Linked DNA regions of Arabidopsis thaliana. Each later gene encodes a partner of the first gene's protein in a complex. Each region holds a gene or a part of one and is shown in the gene's direction. Other genes may lie near its edges.

The links.
Region 2: emb2394 (region 1) and RPL27 share a complex: the UniProt entries of both Arabidopsis thaliana proteins name them as parts of the 50S ribosomal subunit.
Region 3: emb2394 (region 1) and RPL15 share a complex: the UniProt entries of both Arabidopsis thaliana proteins name them as parts of the 50S ribosomal subunit.

The regions. Positions count from the first base shown.
Region 1 is NC_003070.9:1,499,092-1,508,105, reverse strand, and holds emb2394 (Ribosomal protein L6 family), read left to right. Parts: upstream 1-4,252; 5' UTR 4,253-4,367; coding exon 4,368-4,402; intron 4,403-4,844; coding exon 4,845-5,144; intron 5,145-5,254; coding exon 5,255-5,591; 3' UTR 5,592-5,855; downstream 5,856-9,014. Other genes in the region: GLR3.4 (glutamate receptor 3.4), read right to left, coding at 1-82, 189-220, 300-577, 656-1,989, 2,113-2,464; AXR1 (NAD(P)-binding Rossmann-fold superfamily protein), read left to right, coding at 6,331-6,416, 6,509-6,681, 6,776-6,939, 7,192-7,302, 7,427-7,506, 7,621-7,774, 7,857-7,950, 8,127-8,215 and 3 more. UniProt on the Arabidopsis thaliana protein: This protein binds directly to 23S ribosomal RNA and is located at the aminoacyl-tRNA binding site of the peptidyltransferase center.
Region 2 is NC_003076.8:16,406,261-16,413,662, forward strand, and holds RPL27 (ribosomal protein large subunit 27), read left to right. Parts: upstream 1-4,521; 5' UTR 4,522-4,605; coding exon 4,606-4,908; intron 4,909-5,207; coding exon 5,208-5,309; intron 5,310-5,393; coding exon 5,394-5,585; 3' UTR 5,586-5,854; downstream 5,855-7,402. Other genes in the region: FLA20 (putative fasciclin-like arabinogalactan protein 20), read right to left, coding at 396-1,670; AT5G40960 (transmembrane protein, putative (DUF 3339)), read right to left, coding at 6,485-6,691.
Region 3 is NC_003074.8:9,489,507-9,497,208, reverse strand, and holds RPL15 (ribosomal protein L15), read left to right. Parts: upstream 1-4,553; 5' UTR 4,554-4,650; coding exon 4,651-4,734; intron 4,735-4,805; coding exon 4,806-5,169; intron 5,170-5,461; coding exon 5,462-5,613; intron 5,614-5,707; coding exon 5,708-5,941; 3' UTR 5,942-6,154; downstream 6,155-7,702. Other genes in the region: AT3G25950 (TRAM, LAG1 and CLN8 (TLC) lipid-sensing domain containing protein), read right to left, coding at 98-853; AT3G25940 (TFIIB zinc-binding protein), read right to left, coding at 1,267-1,341, 1,431-1,487, 1,573-1,641, 1,855-1,895, 1,988-2,105; AT3G25930 (Adenine nucleotide alpha hydrolases-like superfamily protein), read left to right, coding at 3,338-3,536, 3,656-3,747, 3,912-4,024, 4,117-4,177; AT3G25910 (MAP kinase kinase kinase, putative (DUF1644)), read right to left, coding at 6,255-7,373.

The DNA.
Region 1 (9,014 bases):
GTGTAGCTCGAGTTGATGATCAGAACCACGAATAACCAAATGATCAGCACAAACCTCCCCAGTGAACTCACCGTGTTCTCCCCTGAAAGATTCAAAAGTTATAAAGTAAAAACACTTTACTTCCCTCCAACATTCTGTAAGCCCTGGTGTGAAAATCTACCAGGTTACTCGAATTATAGCGTACTTACTATGAGAGAAGAACATTGTTGAGAAGCTAAACCTGTAACAGTGAAGAGGAGAAGGAAAATAAGGTTTAAAAGGTAAACTCGGGCTCTAGTGTTAAGAACTGGGAAACTAACCAGAAGATGGTAATGAGTTGACGCCTAGGAGGGCCACGGAATTCTTGGTTGAAGCGGTGTTCGAGAATCCAGACCATGGCTCCCACAAAGAGAAAGAAGCCTCCAGTGACAGCCCACATCTCTATAGTGAATGGTTTCAGGAATGACCAAGGACTAGACTTGGCCTCCTTAACCGGAGCCACCACCACAAGCCCTGATTCTATAAACGGTTGTGTGAAATCTACATATCTTGTTCTGTTTGTGACGATTGTGATATCTCCTACAGCTACATCAAAATTCTGAAGAGGAAACATGAGAAAAGACAGGTTAGCATCTTCTGAAAGTTGTGAACTTGATTGAGTAATGTAGCTACTCACATCCGCAACAACTTCATTGACGAGGTTATCATAAGAAGGATTTCTCTTCCCGTCTCCATATAGTATATAAGTACGTGGAACAGGATATGGAAGCAATTCAATAGCGGCTTCAAAGACATCAATGCAGTAGCCTCTAACGCCAGGCGGGTTTTTATCCTTAGAAACGTAATCTGTATAGCTCACACGGTTAGGCACCCCGATTCTGAGCGGTTTTCCATTATTAGGAAACACCCAACCACGAGGAGGCTTAGTTACTTCTCCTGGATATATGATTCCTTTAAGACGCTGGTTTGCTGTAGATGTGTTTGGAGGCCTAGAGTACAAGGTCTCTGGATGGACCACAGAGAGACCCGAATGATTTGACCAGTACCCGACTGTGCGTGGAGCTGTACCTTCTAAGTTTAGAACTTCATAAGCCGGATTAACCCGGTTTCTATCTGAATCAAACTGGATTGGACCCGTCACACCAGTATGATTCATCCCAAGAATGATCTTCATAAACTTCTCTCCTTCATTGAAAACACTTAGTGCTGATAGCTGAATAGTGCTACCATTTGTTTTGTGCAGATTTGGATCGTTGGAGAAAGTTATGTTATTGTTTTCTCTGAAGAAAACATCGAGGGCACGAGCAACTAACCAAACAGAATCATAAGCATACATCGCATAAGAGTTAAAGCCATCATTTGGTCTAAGATTCTTCCATCTCGCCATAAACTGTCTTTTGACACTACTCTCGATTGTGTAGTGGCGAAAAGCAACCACTCCTTGCAAGAGATCCATCGTGTCTGAATCCACGTGCTCCATGGAATCCATAGCTGTAGGAAGCCAGTCTGTTGCGATCCAAACATAACCACTTGCCATCATTCCAAGAGATTTAGCCACAGAAAAAACGTTTAAACCAGAGTCAGGATTCACATGGACAACAAAAACCCGAGATTCCATCAGATTAACAGAAACCAACAAGTCTCTGATGGAGCTAGAATCTGCACCAGGAGTAATTGCAGCCTTGTAAGAGATCCTCGAGCGTTTCTTGGCTAATACATCGCCAAGGACAGATATCCCGTTCCTGCCACACTCATCATCAACGAATATCGCAATGACTTGTCTCCATCCGGAATATGATAGAAAATCTGCGATCGCATGCATTTGGAAGTAATCATTCTGCGTGGTGCGGAGGAAATAAGGAAATTGCAGAGAGGAGAGAGTCGGATCCGTTGCTCCAAATGACAAGAGAGGTACATGAAGCTCATTAGCTACATAGGAGATCATGTGAGCAATCCCTGAAGATTGTGGACCAATGGCTGCAACCACTTTGTTTTCCATCAGCTGCAAAGCTACACCATAAGATGAAACATAATCATCACTCATTCTTTGGGGGCATTTTCACAAACTAGTTCTGAGTTAAAAAGTTGGCCACAGTAGTAAGAGAGAAGAAGAAGGAGAAGCAGTATATATACCTCCCATGGTGCCGATAAATCCACTGCAATTTGAGTCTTGAAAGATGATATTAAGCTTGATGCCCTTAAGAACACTTTGGTCAGCATTAACATCATCCATAGCTGCTTTAACCGCGGGTTTAGCCGCTCTTCCGATAAAAGAATCATAAGTAAACAGAGCTCCAACATTCACAGAGCTTGGCCTCTGTCTTAATGGCCGCAAAGAAGAAGAAGAAGAAGAAGACGAGTTTCTAGAGAAATTACTTCTACAAGCACATTCCTTTGGAACAACCCACAAGACAGAAACACATAACAACACAACTCTGATTGCTTTCGCCATGGAAACTTCTCTTATCATCACCAAAAATCCCATCTTTATCACAATTTCCAGCAAAAGCACTAGTTTTTCTTTGTCCTGGTCTCATATAACCATTTGATTTATTTGGAGTAACACCTGCGAAATAAACAATGCCCAACCTGAATCAAAATTGAGATTATAACAAAAGACAAAAAAGATGGTCCAGAAATCTGGTGAAAGAAGGCAAAACCAACCAAGAAATCGGGAGTTAGATTCTGTAGAGAGATTGGTGTATACAGATTTTTGTGTCTGTATATTTATTTATAGTGTATAAAATAATGTATTTATATGAGGCCCTTTGATTCTAGAAACTGGTGCTTTACATGTGCAAGTAAGAACTGAAAATAATGAAGTGTAAGAGGGCCGTCTTAAAGATGGTTCGCAGAGAAAGAAGCAAAAAGTGTAATAAATAATTCAATGAACAAATAACTAAAGATTATATATGTAAGAACATAAAGAAAAACAAAAATTAAAAGATCCAATTGAGAAAAAGAAGAAGCAACCTTGGAATAAATACGAGAAACAAACTTTAATCAGAGATCCATAATCTTCACAAGTAAACGAGTGATTTAGCACTAAGCATAAAGAAGAAAGACAGAGAAAAGAAGTCGAAGAAGCAGAAGAAGAACTGTTTCTGAGCTCAAGCAAAGAATAATTCATAATATTCTCTCTCCTTTTTTTTCCCTATTTTCTTCCTTATCATTACTTATTTTTTTGGTATTTTATGAAATTTTGTAAATTTTGTTTTGGAGTGCTATTTCTGGAGTGGTCAGTGAAGACGTAGGCCAAGGTGTGGGGTAGTATGATCGATGCTTTACTTGTGTCCTCATACTATTCGATAAATCAAATTTTTACGTTGGCTCTTATTGGTAACTATCATTTATTAAGGTAGTTGATGCATTTTTCTTTTTGGTTACAACGGATATAGTTAAATGGTAATTAGGGTAACTACGTATGACATGAGGCAAAATAATAATTGAAAATGTGAATGTGAGGAGTGACGACCTAATTGCTCCAAGGCCGCCTTCGTCAAAGAATAAGTCTCCTCAACGGTTGTCAAATCAATTTCACACAAAAAAAAAAGAAAAGAAAAAGATATTTTCAGACATAAATAGTAAAGTAATTGTACTATTGATTTCATATGATAAAAGGTGCATGAAACACATGGTCGACTATTTTTTGTCTTTAGAGTGTTCATTAAGGAATGTTATTAAAAAAAACTTATAAGAGCTGCATTTGTTATTACATAGTTCCTTATTGAAATTTTCATTTGTTAATTGTTAACACAAAATAAAATATGCCACTGAATCCACAAATATCTTGTCGGTATCGAACTTTTTATTTATTTAGAACAAGAATATCTTGACCAAATGAAATGTGAACCAGGAAAATAAATATACAGTTCATCTTTTTTTTCTTTGAATCTTCTCAATTTGTTGTTTGGATTTTTCTGAGGGTAAGGGCCCATTTCATTTTTAAATTTGTCTGTTAAGAGTAGTTTAAAATCCATGCCTTTAAAAGATTCGACTTGAAAACATACTTAATCGGGAAAGATGCACAATTTTGATCCAAACGCATCTACTAATAATCTATTGACTTCATTAATCTAATCCAAACTCCACGTTCATTGGGTAAATTTTGTGAACAGTTATTATAATAATGGGCCTAGAAACAGTGAGATAATAGGCCATGATCAATATAGATAAATGGGTTACACAAATAATGAATTGTCCCACAGAAGGATGGTTAAAAGTAATGGGCCGAAAATAGTGAGCTAATGGGCCGTGAAAGTAATGATTTGAAAGAGGGGATTACAGAAGCTGACGATGGATAAGTCTTTTCTGGATAAAACGCTCTTCTTCTTCTCTTCATCCTCCTTCTGGAGCAGAGCTTAGAGCTCCATCATCAAATCTTATCAATGGCTTCCTCACTCGTCTCATCTTTTCAACCCAGGTACTTTTCATATACTACAAACCATAGAGCTTCTTCATTCCGCTAGGGTTTCGTTTTCTTTACTTGGCATTTTCTACTCAAAAATCTCTATAAACTGTGTTCATGAGCCTCCCAAGTATAAGGAATCTCTTTGAATGGGTTATTTTTATCTTTTTAAATCGATGGCAATGTTGAATTGGTTATGGACTCTTGAAATTGTGGATTTTTATTTTGGGAATTTGAATGTGTTATGCGGAACTCACTGTGTAAAAAGCAGGATTCTAGAGGGGTTTTTAGCCATGGAAACTGAAAGTTCTACAAGAATGTTTCTCTTCCTTAATCTAACGTTATCTTTGTTCCAATAACAGTTTCTGTGTATTGGTTTAGATATATATCTGGTAGAGTTTTACTTTCTTGACATGTTTTATCTGAAGATAGATAGATAACTTCCCCTTTGTTTTAGGTCAGCATTTTTGGGAGATAGAAATGTGTTCAAGGTCTCAAGCACACCTTTTGCTCAAGTGGGTTACTCCAGTAAGACCATTGAGTGCAAAGAATCAAGGATAGGAAAGCAACCGATCGCTGTACCTTCCAATGTAACCATTGCATTGGAAGGTCAAGACTTGAAAGTGAAGGGTCCATTAGGAGAGCTGGCTTTAACTTACCCACGCGAAGTTGAGCTTACAAAGGAAGAATCCGGTTTCTTAAGGGTCAAAAAAACCGTCGAAACTAGAAGAGCCAACCAAATGCACGGCCTTTTCAGGTTACAAACTTCTCATCTTTTCTTGTCATCCAATGAAGTCCTTAACTTTTTTGAGGTTAAAAGATCGTTTGTTCTCTAATCTTTTTTTTTAACTTCTGTGTGACTTTTAGGACGCTTACCGATAACATGGTTGTGGGAGTATCAAAGGGATTTGAGAAAAAGCTTATACTTGTGGGTGTTGGTTATCGTGCAACAGTAGACGGAAAGGAGCTGGTGCTAAATCTCGGGTTTTCACACCCGGTGAAGATGCAGATACCGGATAGTCTGAAAGTGAAAGTGGAAGAGAACACAAGAATCACTGTGAGTGGATACGACAAGAGCGAAATCGGGCAGTTTGCTGCAACGGTTAGGAAGTGGAGGCCACCAGAGCCATACAAGGGGAAAGGAGTCAAGTATTCCGATGAGATAGTTCGGAGGAAGGAAGGAAAAGCTGGAAAGAAGAAATGATCTTCATTTTTCATTATTATCTACTTACTTATCTCTTCCTTTCAATGTTTATGTGTATTTGCTCAAATTTGTTTAGAAATGAAGATGTTTGTGTTGGGATTCTTGAGTAAGTTTTTAAAGGAACCCATTAATTGTTTTTGATGCTCTGACAAAAATTTCTTTAGTGCTTTGATTGAACAAGAACTTGGGCACAAAGTGCCTCATCGGTGTGATTCTATTGTTATGTTTCCTTATTGAACCAAACCAATCCAAATCGGACAAAAATCATGGTAGATAAACTTTTTAAAACAATTTTTTAATCTATTCTTCTTTTTTTTAATTACAAATTTTCTTATTTTCTTATATCTAAAAAATCGTAACAGTAAGATATTAATATCTGTATTCTTAATTTGGTAGATAACTTTTTAAAAAACGAAAATTTCCTATAAGAATAATAATAGTCGGAAATAAAACAAAAAACAATATCATGGTGATTATTCTTATTTGCTTATATCTTCTTCTTTTTCACAATTTTTTTTTAAAAAAAATATTTACAAAATTTTCTTATTTGCTTATATATATAAAAAATCAGTAAGATATTAATATCGATTTTTTAATTTGGTAGATAACTTTTTTCAAACGATAAATTTCCTAAAAACAATAAAATATTCGGAAATAAACAAAAACCCTGATTGAAGAAAAGTCTTTTTGTTTATCAGTTCACCGGAGGCAAAAATCGTCTCTCGCTTGAGCTGCGAAGATGCAAGCAGTAAAAAGATCCAGGAGACATGTTGAAGAAGAGCCAACAATGGTAGAACCTAAAACCAAGTACGATCGTCAGCTCAGGTATACATACTCTTTTTCCTTAAACTCTACTTCGAACTACTCTTGTCGGGAGGAAAATTGATGAAGTAGTAATCGTTGGGTTGACTGATTAGGATTTGGGGGGAGGTAGGTCAAGCGGCCTTGGAAGAAGCGAGTATCTGTTTACTCAATTGTGGCCCTACTGGTTCCGAGGCTTTGAAGAATCTCGTACTTGGTGGTGTTGGTAGCATCACCGTTGTTGATGGATCTAAGGTTCAATTTGGTGACCTTGGGAACAATTTCATGGGTACTGACTAATTTTGAAACTTTTTGATTGTGTTTCTTCTGGGGGTTTTGGGGGACTTGCTTGCGTTATGATGATTTTTTTTTTTCATGTGAAGTCGATGCGAAGAGTGTTGGCCAATCAAAAGCCAAATCTGTTTGTGCGTTTCTCCAAGAGCTTAATGATTCTGTTAACGCCAAGTTTATTGAGGAGAATCCAGACACGTTGATTACTACTAACCCATCTTTCTTCTCTCAGTTCACTCTCGTTATAGCCACTCAGGTACCATTGTTTTTCTATTTGTAATCTTCTCTAATGATTTGTGTGTTACAATTTTTCAAAGTTCTAATCTTTGCTTACACAGTCACTCACCATGGATCATGATACCTTCTATTCAATGTTCTTTAGTTAGTTTCTCATATGTACTTTTCCTCGTCCTCTTCACGGGATATTGCTTTATTAGGCTTCTTTTTCCTGTGTTATTGTTATTTAAGTTCGTTATTTCATCCCCTTTTCGACATTGATTGGTTGCAGCTGGTGGAAGATTCAATGTTGAAACTTGATAGAATCTGTCGAGATGCAAACGTTAAGTTGGTTTTGGTTCGCTCTTATGGCCTTGCTGGGTTTGTTCGCATCTCTGTAAAGGTAATTAATACCACCTGTCTAGACCCAATTTGTGATAAAGTTTAGATTACTTTGTGGTATGCCGTGGTTAGGATATTGGCCAATGAGAATATATGCTAAGCTCTCTTCTTTTCTTTTTTATCAGGAGCACCCCATAATTGACTCAAAACCTGATCATTTTCTTGACGACCTCCGCCTGAATAATCCATGGCCTGAACTCAAGAGGTCCACTGCTCTCATATCCTCTCACTTTATGTTGTTCTGGCATCCTTTAACATTATGGTTGTGGATGGACGACTGAGTACTTACTGATATTCTTAATTATTTAATGAACGGCAGTTTTGTGGAGACCATTGATCTGAATGTATCAGAGCCGGCCGCTGCACATAAGCACATACCTTACGTCGTCATTCTTGTAAAGATGGCTGAGGAGTGGGCTCAATCCCATAGTGGTAATCTTCCCTCAACCAGGGAAGAGAAAAAAGAGTTTAAGGTTTAGTTCTTTTTTGTAACTTATAAAATTTATTAGCGAGCTTGCTTTCTTGTTTTAATTATCTATATCCTTGAATTCTTAGGATTTGGTTAAGTCCAAGATGGTATCTACGGATGAAGATAACTACAAAGAAGCCATTGAAGCCGCTTTCAAAGTTTTTGCTCCTCGAGGAATCAGTAAGTAGATATCTTGTTTGGTCTAGGTAGAAACTTGACTTAGAATGTTTACTGTTTCCATGGTTGAGTTAATAGGTGTAGCGATTGTTGATATTGGAGCTAAACTAACAGAAAGCTCTGTCACGGGTCAAATCACAGTATTCTTCATGTTGAACCAAACCTGTTTTCTCTTCCAGGCTCAGAGGTTCAAAAATTAATTAATGATAGTTGTGCTGAAGTGAATTCAAACTCCTCAGCTTTTTGGGTGATGGTAGCGGCTCTGAAGGTTTGAAACTTGAAACCTGCTCTGCCAGAACTCATAATTTTATGTTCATTTAGGAAGTGCAAACTGCAACTCATTTTGATTGAAATCATAATCGTACATAACCACCTGCAGGAGTTTGTTTTAAATGAAGGTGGTGGAGAGGCACCCCTTGAAGGTTCTATACCAGATATGACCTCTTCAACAGAGTTAGTGCACTTGCCTCTATGGCACTGAAATTCACCCTCAGTCTATTTTTCACATTGGTTATGTAGCTGTATGGTTTCTCTTTGCAGACACTATATCAATTTGCAGAAAATCTATTTAGCCAAAGCCGAGGCTGATTTTCTTGTCATTGAGGAACGAGTTAAAAACATTTTAAAGAAAATCGGTCGAGATCCGAGCAGCATCCCAAAACCAACAATCAAGAGCTTCTGCAAGAATGCAAGGAAACTTAAAGTGAGTATACTAAACTTCCTAACATGTTTAATTTGTTTTCTAATGTCAACGTTTTACCTATTGCTTGTTTACTTTTTCTTCGGAGCATTATCAGAAACATATGATTTGAGTAAAGCATAAACCATAATCCGTCCTTTGTAGTTGTGCAGATATCGTATGGTAGAGGACGAGTTCAGAAATCCTTCTGTAACTGAAATTCAAAAGTATTTAGCGGACGAGGATTACAGGTGCGAATTTTCCCTTTTCATATGAGTACAAAAACATCAGATGATTTGAAAGATGACCTTTCTACAAAATGTTCACTCTTTTGTCTGTCTCATACATGCCATAAGATGTTGTGATTGAATATTGCAGGAGCATTTTT
Region 2 (7,402 bases), on another chromosome or scaffold:
TAGTGCATCTGAATCATGTTCTGCCTATAGATGAAGTTTTTAGTCTAGAAAAACACAGTATATAGTGAAGCAATGGTTATGACTTATGAGTGCAGGCTCCAATACTACATACAGAGGTTCACGAACATGGTTTACGTCCACAAATACGAGCAACCTCACAGGCTATGAAGAACAACACTGATTCCAGGTACTAACTACCATCAACCTCAGAGACCAATATCGAGCCAGTAACATTCACCAAGAGAGTCTAAATTCACAACTTTATATTCATTTTCAAACTAAAGAGGTTCTCATTGTTAACAACTCTGAACAGATTCGAGATTATGAAATAAGAGAATCAACACTGATATGAGTATCTCTCTACATTGCTGTTGAATCAAATTGTCTTGTAGAAATCAGTGAAGACCATAGTCACCTAACTCAGAAGAGTACTCTCCATGAACACCTTCTTCTTCTTGTTCTCCATTGTTTAGCACTGTGATAGAATCTCCCACATCCACCTGTTTCTCTTTTGTTACAATCATCTGATTAAAGCCATGAACAGCAATCCAATCGTTGACATACAAATCTGGATATATGAGTGGAACTCCATTGAGAAGAAGTATATCACCGGACAAAGAAATCTCAATCTCATACCCTTTAAGAACAGTCTGCAGAATCGATCCTTCCTTAGCAAATTTCTGAAGATCTTTCCATAAGAGAAGTTGACTGACAACATGTCCTCTGAAAATAGTAACGTAATCGGAGAATTTAGTAGTTGGATTTGGAATTGCTTCGTCGATCGGAGCAAAGACTGTGATCTTCGTGTCGTTTCCTGAAGTATTATCTTCTAATTGCAGAGCGAGAAACGTAGCTATAATCACGAAACCTCTCGACATTAACAATCTTGAAGCCGATTCAAAGATGTTGAAGCGATTCACTGGTTTAGATCTATTGGGAAGATTTCGAGTGGAATCCGAAGCGATATTAGGACTTGGAGGTGTTTGAGTCGCTGAGCTAGGGATAGGGATTGAACCAGTAGATGAAGTAGTGCTTGGGATTGAAGAAGAAGATGATGAATCGTCGGAGATTTTCGTCGGTGATGTGAAAAACTCGTCGGATCCGTAAATCACGACGTATCCGTCGTCAAAAACAGGAGAATCTTGGACTACGACGTTGTTGATCGAAGTTTTACCTCCGAATCGTGAAGAATTCGTGACGGTTAGAGAGTAATTAGATCTGAGAGTAGGGATTTTGGCGCCATTTGGGAGGTTTCTTAAGGTTTCTCCTGGGAGTCTCGTCGGAGAGAGCTGGTACTTCATATCGAGAAGCGAAGGTTGACCAAACTTAGAGAAAGATTGATCAGAAGGTGCGAAGAGGGTGAGTTCTTGCCAATCTTCGAGGTTTAGATCTTGATTCGCGAGCTTTAGTGTGAGTCCCATGGATAAGTAGCCGGAATCGGAAAGAACTTCCACGGCGGATGAAACAGATGTCATAGAAGTTGCGACGAGATCGATATCGAGAACGAAAAATATGAGGAAGAAGGTCGTTAGAAGCTTCGACGCCATTGATGCGTTCTTCGAGCTTTTTTTTTCGTTTGGTTTCAGAGAAAAGCCGTTGCAGAGGAAGTTACAGTTTTTATAGTCCGTCCTATTAAGAGAGGGAAAATATTTACTGGGCTTTTTATTCATAGGCCCATGTGTTTTTTTGTCAACAGGCCCATATGTTTTTTTCTTTTTTAGTTTTCAGTTTTTCACATTTTCCCTCCCGCTTCTTTTTCTTATTTCCCTCTCTAAAAACAAGAAAACATTTTTACATTTTCCCTCCTAAATCTCCAAATTTTCAGAATAAATATCTCAATTACAAATCCATGATAATCCACACAACAATAAACACTCATCGATTAAATCTTCTTCACCGGAAAAAATGCCTTCGATGCCAGAGGAACCAATCCTAACACCAACACCAGATCGATTCTGTATGTTCCCAATCCAATACCCACAGATTTGGGAGATGTACAAGAAAGCCGAAGCATCCTTCTGGACAGCCGAAGAAGTCGATCTCTCTCAAGACAATCGCGACTGGGAAAACTCACTAACCAACGACGAACGTCACTTCATTAAACACGTCCTCGCCTTCTTCGCCGCATCAGACGGAATCGTTCTCGAGAATCTCTCAACTAGATTCATGTCCGATGTTCAGATCTCAGAAGCTCGTGCCTTCTACGGATTCCAAATCGCGATTGAGAATATTCACTCCGAGATGTATAGTCTCCTTCTCGACACGTATATCAAAGACAACAAAGAGAGAGATCATCTTTTTCGTGCAATCGAAACCATTCCTTGTGACGAAAAAAGCAGAATGGGCTATGAAATGGATCAACGGATCTCAAAGCTTCGCTGAGAGAATCGTAGCGTTTGCTTGCGTTGAAGGTATATTCTTCTCCGGTAGCTTTTGTTCGATATTCTGGTTGAAGAAACGAGGTTTAATGCCTGGACTCACTTTTTCAAACGAATTGATTTCGAGAGACGAAGGTCTTCACTGTGATTTCGCTTGTTTGATATATAGTCTTCTTAGAACTAAGTTTGATGAAGATCGTTTGAAAGCGATTGTTTGTGATGCTGTTGAGATTGAGAGAGAGTTTGTTTGTGACGCGCTTTCTTGTGCCTTGGTTGGGATGAATCGTGAGTTGATGAGTCAGTACATTGAGTTCGTTGCTGATAGGTTGTTGGCTGCGCTTGGGTGTGGTAAGGTGTATGGTGTGACTAATCCTTTTGATTGGATGGAATTGATTTCGCTTCAGGGTAAGACCAACTTTTTTGAGAAGAGAGTTGGTGAGTATCAGAAAGCTTCTGTTATGTCTAGTGTTCATGGAAACGCTGCGTTTAATGATGATCATGTCTTCAAGCTTGACGAGGATTTTTAGATTTTGCTTACTTGCTTTATTTTTAGTTTTGTAATTTTCAGTATAATGAAAAACAGATGAAGTTTAATTTGATAATGGACATTTAATTTCTTAATTATTTAACATAGTTTTTACATGGTTAACATATAACTAATCCGGATCCTAGTAATTACATGGGTCTACCCAAATCCAAAAAGGATTGGAGCCAATGACTTTGCTATATATTTCGTTCTTAAGAACATTGCTAGGTTTCTAGCTATATTGGTTTTGCCTCTTTATTGGCAGAGGGAGCACAAAGAGAATCCTCCCCTTTCGACATAAAAATGTTATTTTCTCATGGTCTTTTGGATGATTAGCAAGACTTACTCTTAAGTTTTTGCATAAGTATCTTACATCACTTTCTAACTCAACCTTCGAAATATGCATTTGTTTCAAACAATCCAGTGTTCATTTCCAAGTAGGTGTAGTGACTTATGATAAGAAAGCATGTCGATTATGGTAAAAATATTTTAGTGGCTGTTCACAATAATTCTATGAGAGAGAATCATTAGTAGGCAAATTGAATAGGAAACAGACATGATATCAAATTCTTTTGAAGGCAGAAAGAAATGAAAATATAGAAAACATAACTAAAAGAGAATAAACAACCAATTACCATTTACCGTTCCAAAGACCTTCATCGTCGAATTTCAAGAACAATGAAGGTCTTTGAAAGATACTTTTGTCAATAAATATGAAAACCATAAACAATTAGTAGAGATGAGAGATCACTATAACTCTCCTATGACTTTCCATCCAATCAAAAAGAAAAGTTTGTGTCCATGTCTCTATAACTCTATCCAACTTCTTTAAGATAAGATCATTTTCTCGCTTATTACACCAAGTATACAGCGGACCATGGGATGATAGGTCTCAAACAAAGCAATAGTTTACCACTGATTGAAAGTCTCTCATTCCATTGGTATAATAGGGTTGTCTTCAGCTCTAGAATGCTCCACAAGTTCTAAAATCTCATTAAAATCTCCAAACATTATTTAAGGCTTGCTACTAATGACAGGAGAGTCATAGTGATCTCTCATCTTGTTCATAATACTTTTTTCTCCTCTAACCAACTAGACAGTCTATGAAACTCAAATAATATAATTTTTAATTTTCGGTCAAAACTGTAAAAACATGTCAAAATCAAATAATATTTTTTTTTTGCCAAATCAGAAAATTACATTTTTCCGCCAATGTAAAAATAATTTTTAGAGTGACATTGTCAGTATAAATCCTAATTTATGTTTTAATATTATAGCTAAAGTCTATAATTATTTTTGGCTGCTTCTTGCATATTATTATTCTAAGTTTGGTTTTTGTTTTTATCTGAGAAATTTCTACTATATAATGAATATTTGAAACTGTAGTCTATATATTTAGATTTAATATTTTATACAACAAGTTGATATGGCCGAGTTGGTCTAAGGCGCCAGATTAAGGTTCTGGTCCGAAAGGGCGTGGGTTCAAATCCCACTGTCAACATTCACTTTTTTCTCTTTTTCCATTATTTACTTGCTGACGTGTACTCACCTTATCTTACATTATTTGATGACGTGTAATTTTAGTGGTCACTAATCGAGAGAGTGAGACGAAACGATAAGGAGAAGAACTTCTTCTTCAACCTCAGAAAACCCTAATTTCTCCATTTCGAAACTCCAACGAATTCTCTGGTGATTTTACCAATGGCGATGGCAACATCGATGAGTTTGAATCTAATTGGGGCATTCAAAGGCTTGTCTCTTTCTTCGACTTCGTCTTTTCTTAGAGGCGATTTGAGTTTTTCCCCCAAAACCTCTTTCACGGTGACTCTTCCTCTGGAAAATCTTCAAGCTCCGATTCCGTTGACAATTGAATCGGCCCATAAGAAAGGAGCTGGTAGCACCAAGAACGGTCGTGATTCTCCTGGGCAACGACTCGGCGTCAAGATCTACGGTGACCAAGTTGCTAAACCTGGTGCTATCATTGTTCGTCAACGTGGCACTAAGGTAACACTTAAGAACACAGAATTGTTGAAATTGAGAACCTCTTAAGCTCCTCTTTCAATTCTCTTCTAATTTCACCGCAACTCTGTCAATTTGGTCAGTTTCTTATGGGTTTAGCTCTCAAGCTCTGTTTTCAGATTCCATTCTCGAACACATCTGGGTTTAGGATGAATTTTCGTATTTAGTAGCTCTTGTTTCTGATGCCATTGCCATTTCTCTGGAAGTTCTACGTTATGTTTGTGTTTAGGATGGAACTATATTGTTTGAGAAGATTGATTCATGAATGGTGATGTTTGGTGCAGTTCCATGCTGGGAAAAATGTTGGGATTGGTAAAGATCATACCATCTTCTCTTTAATCGATGGATTAGTCAAGTTCGAGAAGTTTGGTCCTGACAGGAAGAAGGTATACCTGTAGTTATACTGAGTAAGGTTTATAAGCTTTCTTAATCTTCTAGGATGTTAAAGGAAATGAGACTTGTTTTTGCAGATAAGTGTGTATCCAAGAGAAATTGTACCAGAGAATCCCAATAGCTACAGAGCAAGAAAGAGAGAAAACTTCAGATTGCAAAGGGAGAAGAAGAAGGCGAGACGCGAGAATTACTCGTACACACTTCCTACACCAGAACTTGTTCTTGCATCTGCCTCAGTCGATGATGCTGAAGCCAATCCGGAGTGCTAGAAGATTGAATGTGGAGTTTCCTTGTCTCTTTTTGTTTAGTCTTGTTTATGAAAAATGATCCTTTCAGAGTATTAAGAGTTGGTTGTATTGTCGAATCCAAGCCTCTCTTTTGTCAAATTGAGTCCCAAGCAGGCGGATTTTTACCCAACTTGAGTTATTAGTGTAATCAAATGGTTATTGTTAATTAGTCAAAGCCTCAAAGGTTTTAATTTAGTGAATTTCTCTTCCAACTTAGTAATTCTGAATCATTGATAAGAGAGACCACCAAACCTTTGAATGCCCCAATTAGATTTAGTCAAGTATAAATCTAGTTCAAGTGTCTATTTGAGGTTTTTTTATTATAAAAATTATAAAACTTATTTGGATCCCAAAAATGGATCCATTGTTAGTCTAAGAAGCCGAAGACTTTATGGGCCTTCTAGCGAAATAATGGGTTTTAGCCCAATTACTTAGCATTTCGGAATATGTAGATAGTGGTACAAAAAAGAAATTGAATAATATTCATTTTCGTCTATCATTGCATAATTAGTGGAATGAAATTATTATTCTATGTTTTTTTTTTTTCATTTATCTATATCTTGCTCATCTTGAATCCATCAATTTCGCTAACGTTTTACCTGTACCATATTAGATCCTTTGTGTTATCTTTAGGCCATATTTCACCAGCTTGAGGTCAAATACTTATACACATGTATGTAACGATATATATATGTAAGATGACGATATATTATTGAATAACACTAAAGGCCTAGAGCAAAAATAGTAATTGATGAGAAGTTTTAAATTCTAGGAGCAGTAATTAAGAAGAAGAACAAAGACAAATCCTAAAACAAAGCATATCAGTAGTAAAACCTTGTAGCACAAAGCAGAGAGGCACATACATGAGTGTAATAAATGAGCTATGCATAGACATGGACGTTGAGAACAACGAGAAAGAGGATAAGAAAGAGACCATAGAGAACAGTGTGAACGAAAATAGAAGCTACCGTCGTCTTCATGTTCATGAAACCCACCGGAGATTCTTTCCCCGGAAACTGCAGTATCAACCCTGGCGACAGAAACGCGAACAAAGCCGAAGCTATCAACGGTGCAGCCCAATCATGCATCTCTTCTTACAAGAACAAGAACAAAAGAAAAAGAAAAAGAGAAATGGAGAAAGAAAGAAGAGAGTGGGAAATAGGTTTGGATGGGTGAAAAAGGAGATGATGGAATTGTGAGAATGAGAATCTGATAAAGTCTAGTTCTTTACAATTAAAGGAAGAGAGAGATTTTTTGGAATTTTGCTTTAGGTGAGGTGTCTTAATTTAATCGTAATTGGCTATCGAAGGAGAGTTTGAATTTGAAACGATTCTAGCTTAAGCATATCAAATGCTCGATTGTATTAGAATAAACATGGTTTGAGCTGTATATCTATTCTATGCGGTTTGAGCGGTTTGAGCGGTTTAACCAATTTACGTGGTGCAGTTTTGCCTTTGGAAGAATAACTTTCAATAATATAATTGTACTCTGTTTTACAATTAAGCAATGTAAAAACAGAAGAAAAATAAACAATGTATGTAATTTGTAGAGAAACGGTTCTATGTCACATTCAAAATCCTATGTGATTCACATGAATAGCGACATATCTTTCGGTGATCAATAAATGTACACGCCACTTTTCGAAATACGTTTGGAGGAATTTTGTTATTTTATTACTTGGAATGTATTCTTGATTAGTAGAATTTGTTTGACTTGAGAAGACTAAATTAGATTACAAGTAACGGGTCCACCACTTGCTAAGCGACCAATATATTCCGTAAGAAGAGAACAATATTTCT
Region 3 (7,702 bases), on another chromosome or scaffold:
ATTCACATAAAAGTACAATTCTGTTAATATTGCATTACACAAATACAAATCAAATAAATTTATATGAAATTTGCTAAGAATCTATCAATTAAACAATTCACTTGTATTTCTTGCTAGAGTTATTCTCCCTAAACCAATCAAGCCAATTACGTAAAACCCACAAAATACTAACCAAAATAGCAAACCCAATCACAACAAGCCACGATAACCAAGCCCACCGTGGAACCACTCCATCCGCCGCACCGCTACCGTAAAACGTCGCCATATCATACAAAACCACCGGACCAGCCAATCCACGAACCACAGTATAAAAAAGATAAAACGGCGGAGACAAAAGCTCTCTCACTCTCCTCGCTAACGCGACGTCGTTTTTTCTATACCCGGTGATCGTCCAGACGTTCTGACACGCGCTCGTCGCCTCCGCGAGTATCAAGAGGAGGAGAAGCCCGTGAGCTCCGTGACCGACGGCGAATCTACACGTGGCGAAAACGTATAGGGTCGCAATGTGGTGGAGGATGAAGATGAAGTCGTTAGGGAGGAAGATTAAGTAATGGAGAAGATCAACGGTGAAATAAGCCATGCTGAAGTCGAGTACGTTTGATTCCACGGCGGTATTGGGAGAAGCGAATGAGTGTACGTCGGCGCGTGGAGTTGTGAGCAGCGCGTGGGAAGCCATTATAACGGCGGGAGTGCCGTGGAAGAGTGACATTAAGCAGCTAGCGCCTAAATGTGATGATTGTTTCCATGTACGGAAAACTAGGAAATAGCCGATGGTGTATACGGCGAGGAAGAGGAGGAGAAACGACGGGAAAGTAGCCAGAAAAGACGAAGGATTAAACGACGCCGTTTCCATGGTTCTTGTTTTGAAACTGTTTGAGAGGTTTAAATGTTTAAGTTGGGTTTTTAAACTGAGAGGTGGGAATGATTTGGTGTGGTGATAATGTACAGTGCATCTACGATAGTCATCGTAGTCAACGGATTTGTAGCCGTTGGATTAAGGAGTAAGATTAGTTTTGACGTGCAAGTGTATTAGTGAGCGTGCTTACAAGTTTTGCTCTGGTGCTTATTTGGATATTCTTTTCGTATTAAAGTGATAATATTTGTCAATAAGTAAGATTAAAGAACACTACATGACATTGCAAAATTGAGTTGGTTTACATATACATAAGGTTCTAATGATGGCACTGAATCATTGAATATGCAACATTAATGTAAGAAACAAAACTGGTATGCTCTGTGAATATCTGAATCACAATGATGGAAACATCAACCTTCTGTGAATCTATGAGCACAATTGGGGCAAGTGTAATATGTTGTCTGTCCTTCATCAGCTGATCTCGTCTGCAAATCCGATGAAAACATTTACTTTGAAATTGAAACAAGAAGACAAGAACTTGAAACCACATAATCAAAAAGCTTGAGGACTATACCTGTCTGGTTGTGTATACAAGCTCAGGATGCTGGCATTTCTCGCATGCCTTTTTGATCTGCAAAGAGAAGTATCATCAAAAATTACAAGTCATGGATTCAGAAAAAAACACGTACATAAAAATCTGTTTCGTATAAACAAACCTTTGGTAGCTCAGCTTCTGCCTGCGTTTTTTCACCAAACAATGATATTCCTAGTTCTCTTCTGATATCCTACCAAAAGCAAAGATCATGATGAAATATTCTTGCAAGAATAACAAAACAGTCATCCATTTTTCAGGTCTGAAAGTAATCACATAGCACAGAACTGGTTTTCTACTGTGTGTGTGTATTCATAAGCCTAATAACAATTGACTAACAACACAAATCAAGAGCAGAGAGATTTTTGCTACTCCATGAAACCGAAACAAAATGTATGATGCATACCTCAGCAGAAACTGTGTAAGCTATTTCCTTGTCGATGATATCTGAACGATAAAAGCACAGCAATAAGATTAAACCAACCAAGAAACAAAAACTTTGTTTTGATTTGATGATATCAAGAAAGATTCATCAAAACCTTTTGCATTCCGTGTTGTTTTGCAATGTGGACATTCTGCATACTTGGTTGATTTCAAGACAAGCATAGTCCCACACAAATTACAGAACAAGAACTCGCTTTCTCTAGATTTCTCCATTACAGAACCTTTAACACAATGACACCAAAAAAGAAAAAAACATAACTCATCTCTACATGTCTCAATTGCTTGAAGAAATTTACAAGTAATGAGTAAAAAGATTAAGACGATCCTATGCTCAACAGATGAGTAAAGTAAGCATCTTTAAGCTAAATATCTCCATTAACATCATCTAAAATTTCAAGAGTAGTACTATGAGCATCAAAATCATACTCAGAATCGAAAGTTCGAGACTTTAAATTCCGTTAAAACCCAAAATTATAACTTTAACAAATTTTTACAGTTCTATATACTTCAAATGAGAACTAAAATGGAAAAGGAGAATCATCGAGTACCTTAGATTACAACAGATGCTTTCGCTATCACAGAGCGTCTCGGGAGAGAAGAAAAAAATCGCTAGGGTTTTTGGGATTCAGAGGTAGGAGATGCAGAGATTATAATGGGCTGGATATATGTCTGTTTGGCCCATTAACTTTTCATTTTAGCCCGTTTAGCTAATTATGTCTTTTCTTTTACCAACTCTCTCTAATGATATTTAATTATGATTAAAAATTCCGACAAAGAGAATAATGTTTTATGTCATCAATGGCGTGTATCCGGCAGTTACCAAACACCGGTCCACTCACACCATTTTATTAATGGAATATTTCAATGGAGAATTGGTAATATGTTGTAGAATGAGATCATATTATTCGATTGTTTTCTTTTTTGATATACAAATGTTTTTTTGTTAGACTTAGCATTGTCTCTATCCTAATTTGAATAAGCATATGACTAGTCTTTTGAAAATTTCAGTAAAACGTTTTCCGCAAACTCATCACAAGTTAAGCAGAATCTGAACCGAAATCTAAATGATCAAGTGATATAACATGGAGATTAAATCACTATAAATCGTTATGTAATTTCTTTAAATGATTGCATATTGTGGGATTGAACTTGAAGTTATAGCGATTTTACGCTTTTGGTTCTAATCCAAACCTACTTTGCCACTACACACGGGTTTAATATAGTATTACTTGTGTGTATAATTTTATTTTATTTTGCAAACGAGAAGAAGCCAGAATCAAGTCGTTAACCCATGCCTTTCAATTACCCAATCACCTAAGATTTTTTTTTATATTACTTCCTTTGACAAGTTAATCCACTTCCAAATATACTATAAAGTTGCACATTGACAAGAGGTTTTAGCAGAAGCTAGAAGAAGAAAGGAGAAGAAGAAACAAAGAGAGAAGATGAAGAATGTTATGCTGATTATTGACGAGAGCAACGCAAGTTATGATTTACTCATTTGGGCACTTGAAAACCAAAAAGATACCATTGAGAGCTCCAAAGTTTATATCTTTGCAAAACAGCCACAAAATTCCTTTACTCCTCCTACCGTACTTTCTTCATCAGTCGGCTTTGCTCAAATTTTCTATCCATTTTCACCTAGTAAGTCATTTTATCGACTAATTTGTTGGGAGTTTTCAATAAATATCAAATTTTCTATCCATTTTCACCTAGTACTTTCTTTTGTTGAAAATTGATCAGTTTTTATGTGTGTTTTGCAGATTCAGAACTCATAAGATTGGCTCAAGAAAAGAATATGAAAATTGCTTTGGGTATATTAGAGAAAGCCAAGAAGATATGTTTAAATCATGGGGTAATAATCTATTGACTGAATCATTTAACTTGTTATTAATACAATATCATATATATATTTTTAAATACCAAAGTTTTAAAAGAAAAAAATGAAGTTCTTTTCATGACAACCATTTGTTGCAATATTTTAGTCTCATGATCTCATCATAATCATGTTGAAAACAGATCAAGGCAGAGACATTTACTGATGATGGAGACCCTAAAGATCTAATCCGCAAGATAATTCAAGAACGAAATATCAATTTAATAGTTACGAGCGATCAACAAAGTCTCAAAAAGTAAGAAACATCTTTTAATTTCAAAATATCAGTTAAAAAACTTAGTATTGATGGAAAAGTTGAGATAACAAACATCTTTTAATTAAATGCAGGTGTACACAAAATACAGATTGTTCTCTTCTTGTCGTGAAGAAAAGACTTCGCAAAGATTAAAGATTAAGGAAGTTACAAAATTCACCAATATATATAATTTTCTATGTGGTTAATTGAGATTGTGTAATGATTTGGGGTTGTAGTTTCAGGTGTTGATTTGGGGTTGTAGTTTGAACTTATAATTGTGTTATGTGTATAAATATTTGTGTTTATATATATCAAGTTAGTATAAATACTATAATTTCTTATCGTTTCTTTTATTGGCACTGGTGTCTTGATCATCCCGACTAATTCAGACATGAGCTTATCTGAAAACCCACTTTGGACACAAACGAATTGATACGAACGAGTAACGACTCTTTTATTGAAAACGAAAAGGCCTAAATTTGCTGTGAAAGGCCCAATAAACAATTAAGTGATTATGTAAGACGATGTCGTTTAACTCTTAAGTTTCTCAAGAAAGTTATCTCTCTCTATCTATCTTCCTCAACCTTATCCTTGAAGCTTTGTTTCATCTGTTGTTCCCTGTGACCATGGCTACTCCACTCTCAATCTCATCAAATCCTCTCACCTCCCGCCATTGTTACCGTCTCCACTTATCTTCTACTTCATTCAAGGTAATCTCTCATTCTTCTACAAATGTCAATTTTGAATGAATCCGTAAAATTGGAATTTGAAATGTGTACAGGGAAATGTAAGTGTTTTGGGGGCAAACCCAAGTCAGATTCTATCTCTGAAACTCAACCAAACCCTTAAAACGAGAAACCAACAGCAATTTGCGAGACCCCTTGTTGTGGTTAGCCAAACGGCGGCTACGTCGTCGGCAGTTGTAGCTCCGGAGAGATTCCGTTTGGATAATCTTGGACCACAGCCAGGTTCGAGGAAGAAGCAGAAGAGAAAAGGTAGAGGTATCTCTGCAGGACAAGGAGCAAGTTGTGGTTTTGGTATGAGAGGTCAGAAATCAAGATCGGGTCCTGGGATTATGAGAGGCTTTGAAGGTGGTCAAACTGCTCTTTATCGTCGTCTTCCCAAACTTAGAGGAATCGCTGGAGGTAAAGTTTTGTTTTTGTTTGGTATCCAAGTTTTGTGTAGCCCAAATGTTCGATGAAATGTCTCATCCAAAAGGCTCTGTTTAAATTTGGTGATGCTGCTTTCAGTTTTATTTAGTTAGGGCACATTTGTTTCATAGATTTAATATTGGGTAAGAGAGCCATGAATTGACAACTATGGATCAAGATTGTAGTTAGTGAATAGAGATATTTCATGGTTCGATTTTGCTAATTAGCTCAAACCAATAGAGATATATTTCTGATGCATCGTTGCGTTACTGTGTTCTTTAAACAGGTATGCGTTCAGGATTACCTAAATACTTACCGGTTAATATCAAAGACATAGAAACAGCTGGGTTTCAAGAGGGAGATGAAGTGTCATTGGAGACATTGAAGCAAAAGGGTTTGATTAATCCTTCAGGGAGAGAAAGGAAACTCCCTCTTAAGGTTAGTTTTCCAAACTTGTTGATCCTACTTCTTTCGATTGTGCTTTCGTCTTTTCTTTCTTTATTTAAACGTTTTGATTGGTCTTGGATTTCAGATTCTGGGTACAGGAGAACTAAGCATGAAGCTCACCTTCAAAGCTCGTGCCTTCTCAACACAAGCAAAAGAGAAGCTTGAAGCTTCAGGTTGTACACTCACTGTGTTGCCGGGAAGAAAGAAATGGGTTAAGCCATCTGTTGCAAAGAACCAAGCACGAGCAGATGAATACTTTGCCAAGAAGAGAGCTGCAGCAGCAGAAGCAGCAACTTCAGAGCCAGCAGCCTCTGCTTAAATTACTTCAGTTTCAAGCTCTTTTTAGTGTTGTAAAGCTGCAGAGAAGATAATTGTCTATGACAAATGTTAATTACAATTCCTTTGTCTTTTTGTATGGTGAAGAGATTTACATTTTGTTGTTTGAAGAGTCATTATCAAAAAGATATTTAAACGGTAATGAAATATTGAACATTTTGTTTCCCAATAGTAGAAACTTTTTTCAATCTCCAAAGAAATTTTACATAATAGGGTTTCATAAGTGGGGTTATTACTACAAGGTTTCCCCCATTTTATCATAAACTCCAAAGACCAAATTTCCAAACTGCAGAGCATCACGGTTCTTCTTCTTCATCATCATCATCAATGACAGTTCTTCTTCTAGAACGACGTCTCCGAGTTCCAGACACTTGTTCATCAGAAGATTGATTATTCTCCTCATCTCTAGGTGATGTTCCTGTATTACCTTCATAGCTCTCTCCCCAAAGACTTGCAGGTCTTGAAGATCTTCTTCTCCCACTTGTATGTGTCCTAGCTCTAGATGTACCAGACCAGCTACTACTCCTTGAGCCACTCGATTCTGGTCTAAACACGCGGATGAGAAAGTACACTGTAAGCAAGCGAGTATCAGCAAATAGAAACCCATCATCGTTACTTATTTCATCTCCTCCAAAAGAAGATTGGAGTGTGCTAAGTAAATCCCCTAAATCGCTCTGCCTTTCTAGCCTCCTCCAGCTTCTCTGTCTCTCTGGATCTGCTTCTGATGGCCTAACTCCTGGATGTAGAAGCCTTGCGTGCTTTCTCAGATCGGAATAGCTTCCACTGAAATCACAAGTCTCACAAGAACAGCTTCTATGTTTTGAGTTCATGAAACATCGAGCTGCTTTAACAACTACCCATTCTTTTATATGTCCACGACATAACGGACAAGTAAGCTTTTGTGGTTTGTTTTTTTCTTGATCTTCTTCTGTTGTTACAATTCCTTCTTCTTCTTCTTCTACTACTACTTCTTCTTCTTCTTCTTCTACTTCTTCTTCTCCTCTCTCACCATCACTTAAATCCACAACTGTTATCTCAGATGCAGCTTCTCCTAATAGATTTACAGCAGTTGAGTCTGAATCCACATCTTCCATCTCAGTTGGTTCATTACTTTCCTCTTCCTCACGAAGTAAAGACAAAGAAGGTTTCTCTTTAGAAGCTTTGCGGAACTGATCGAAACAGTTAGAATGCCGATGGCTAGTGTCGCACATGTAAGGTCGACAACCATTTTCATAAGAAGAACAAATGAGAAGAATCCCATTGTGAGGATGTTCCATACAAACAGGACAACGAGCCTCTTCCCATTCCTTAACTTGTTTCTCACTCGGCTTCAAAGCAAGGCTTGCCTCACAACACAGTGGCGATCGTTTATACTTATCAAGAGATACGGACCGTTCTTTCCTCTCTTTCGGCATGTTTTGGAACTAGTAACAAACAAAGTAACCTCCAGGAGGCTAAACCTGCAATAAGTAACCTTCTCATAAGCAACATCAAACTGAAAATTTGTAAATGCTAGTAACAAGCCTGAAAGAGGAATACAGTTCTTAAAAACCAAGATTAGCAAGAGATCTATATGATAAGCTTCAATAGTCATATATACAAATTGCAATCGCACAAAACCTGAGTTCATCGCCTAATCGGATTGAGAAACAGAAGCAAGATAAAAAGTCTAGTCAAGAGATTAACCTAAGCAACGAAAGTTTCAAACTTTGTCAAATCGGATCAGCTAATACTTCAATCAACG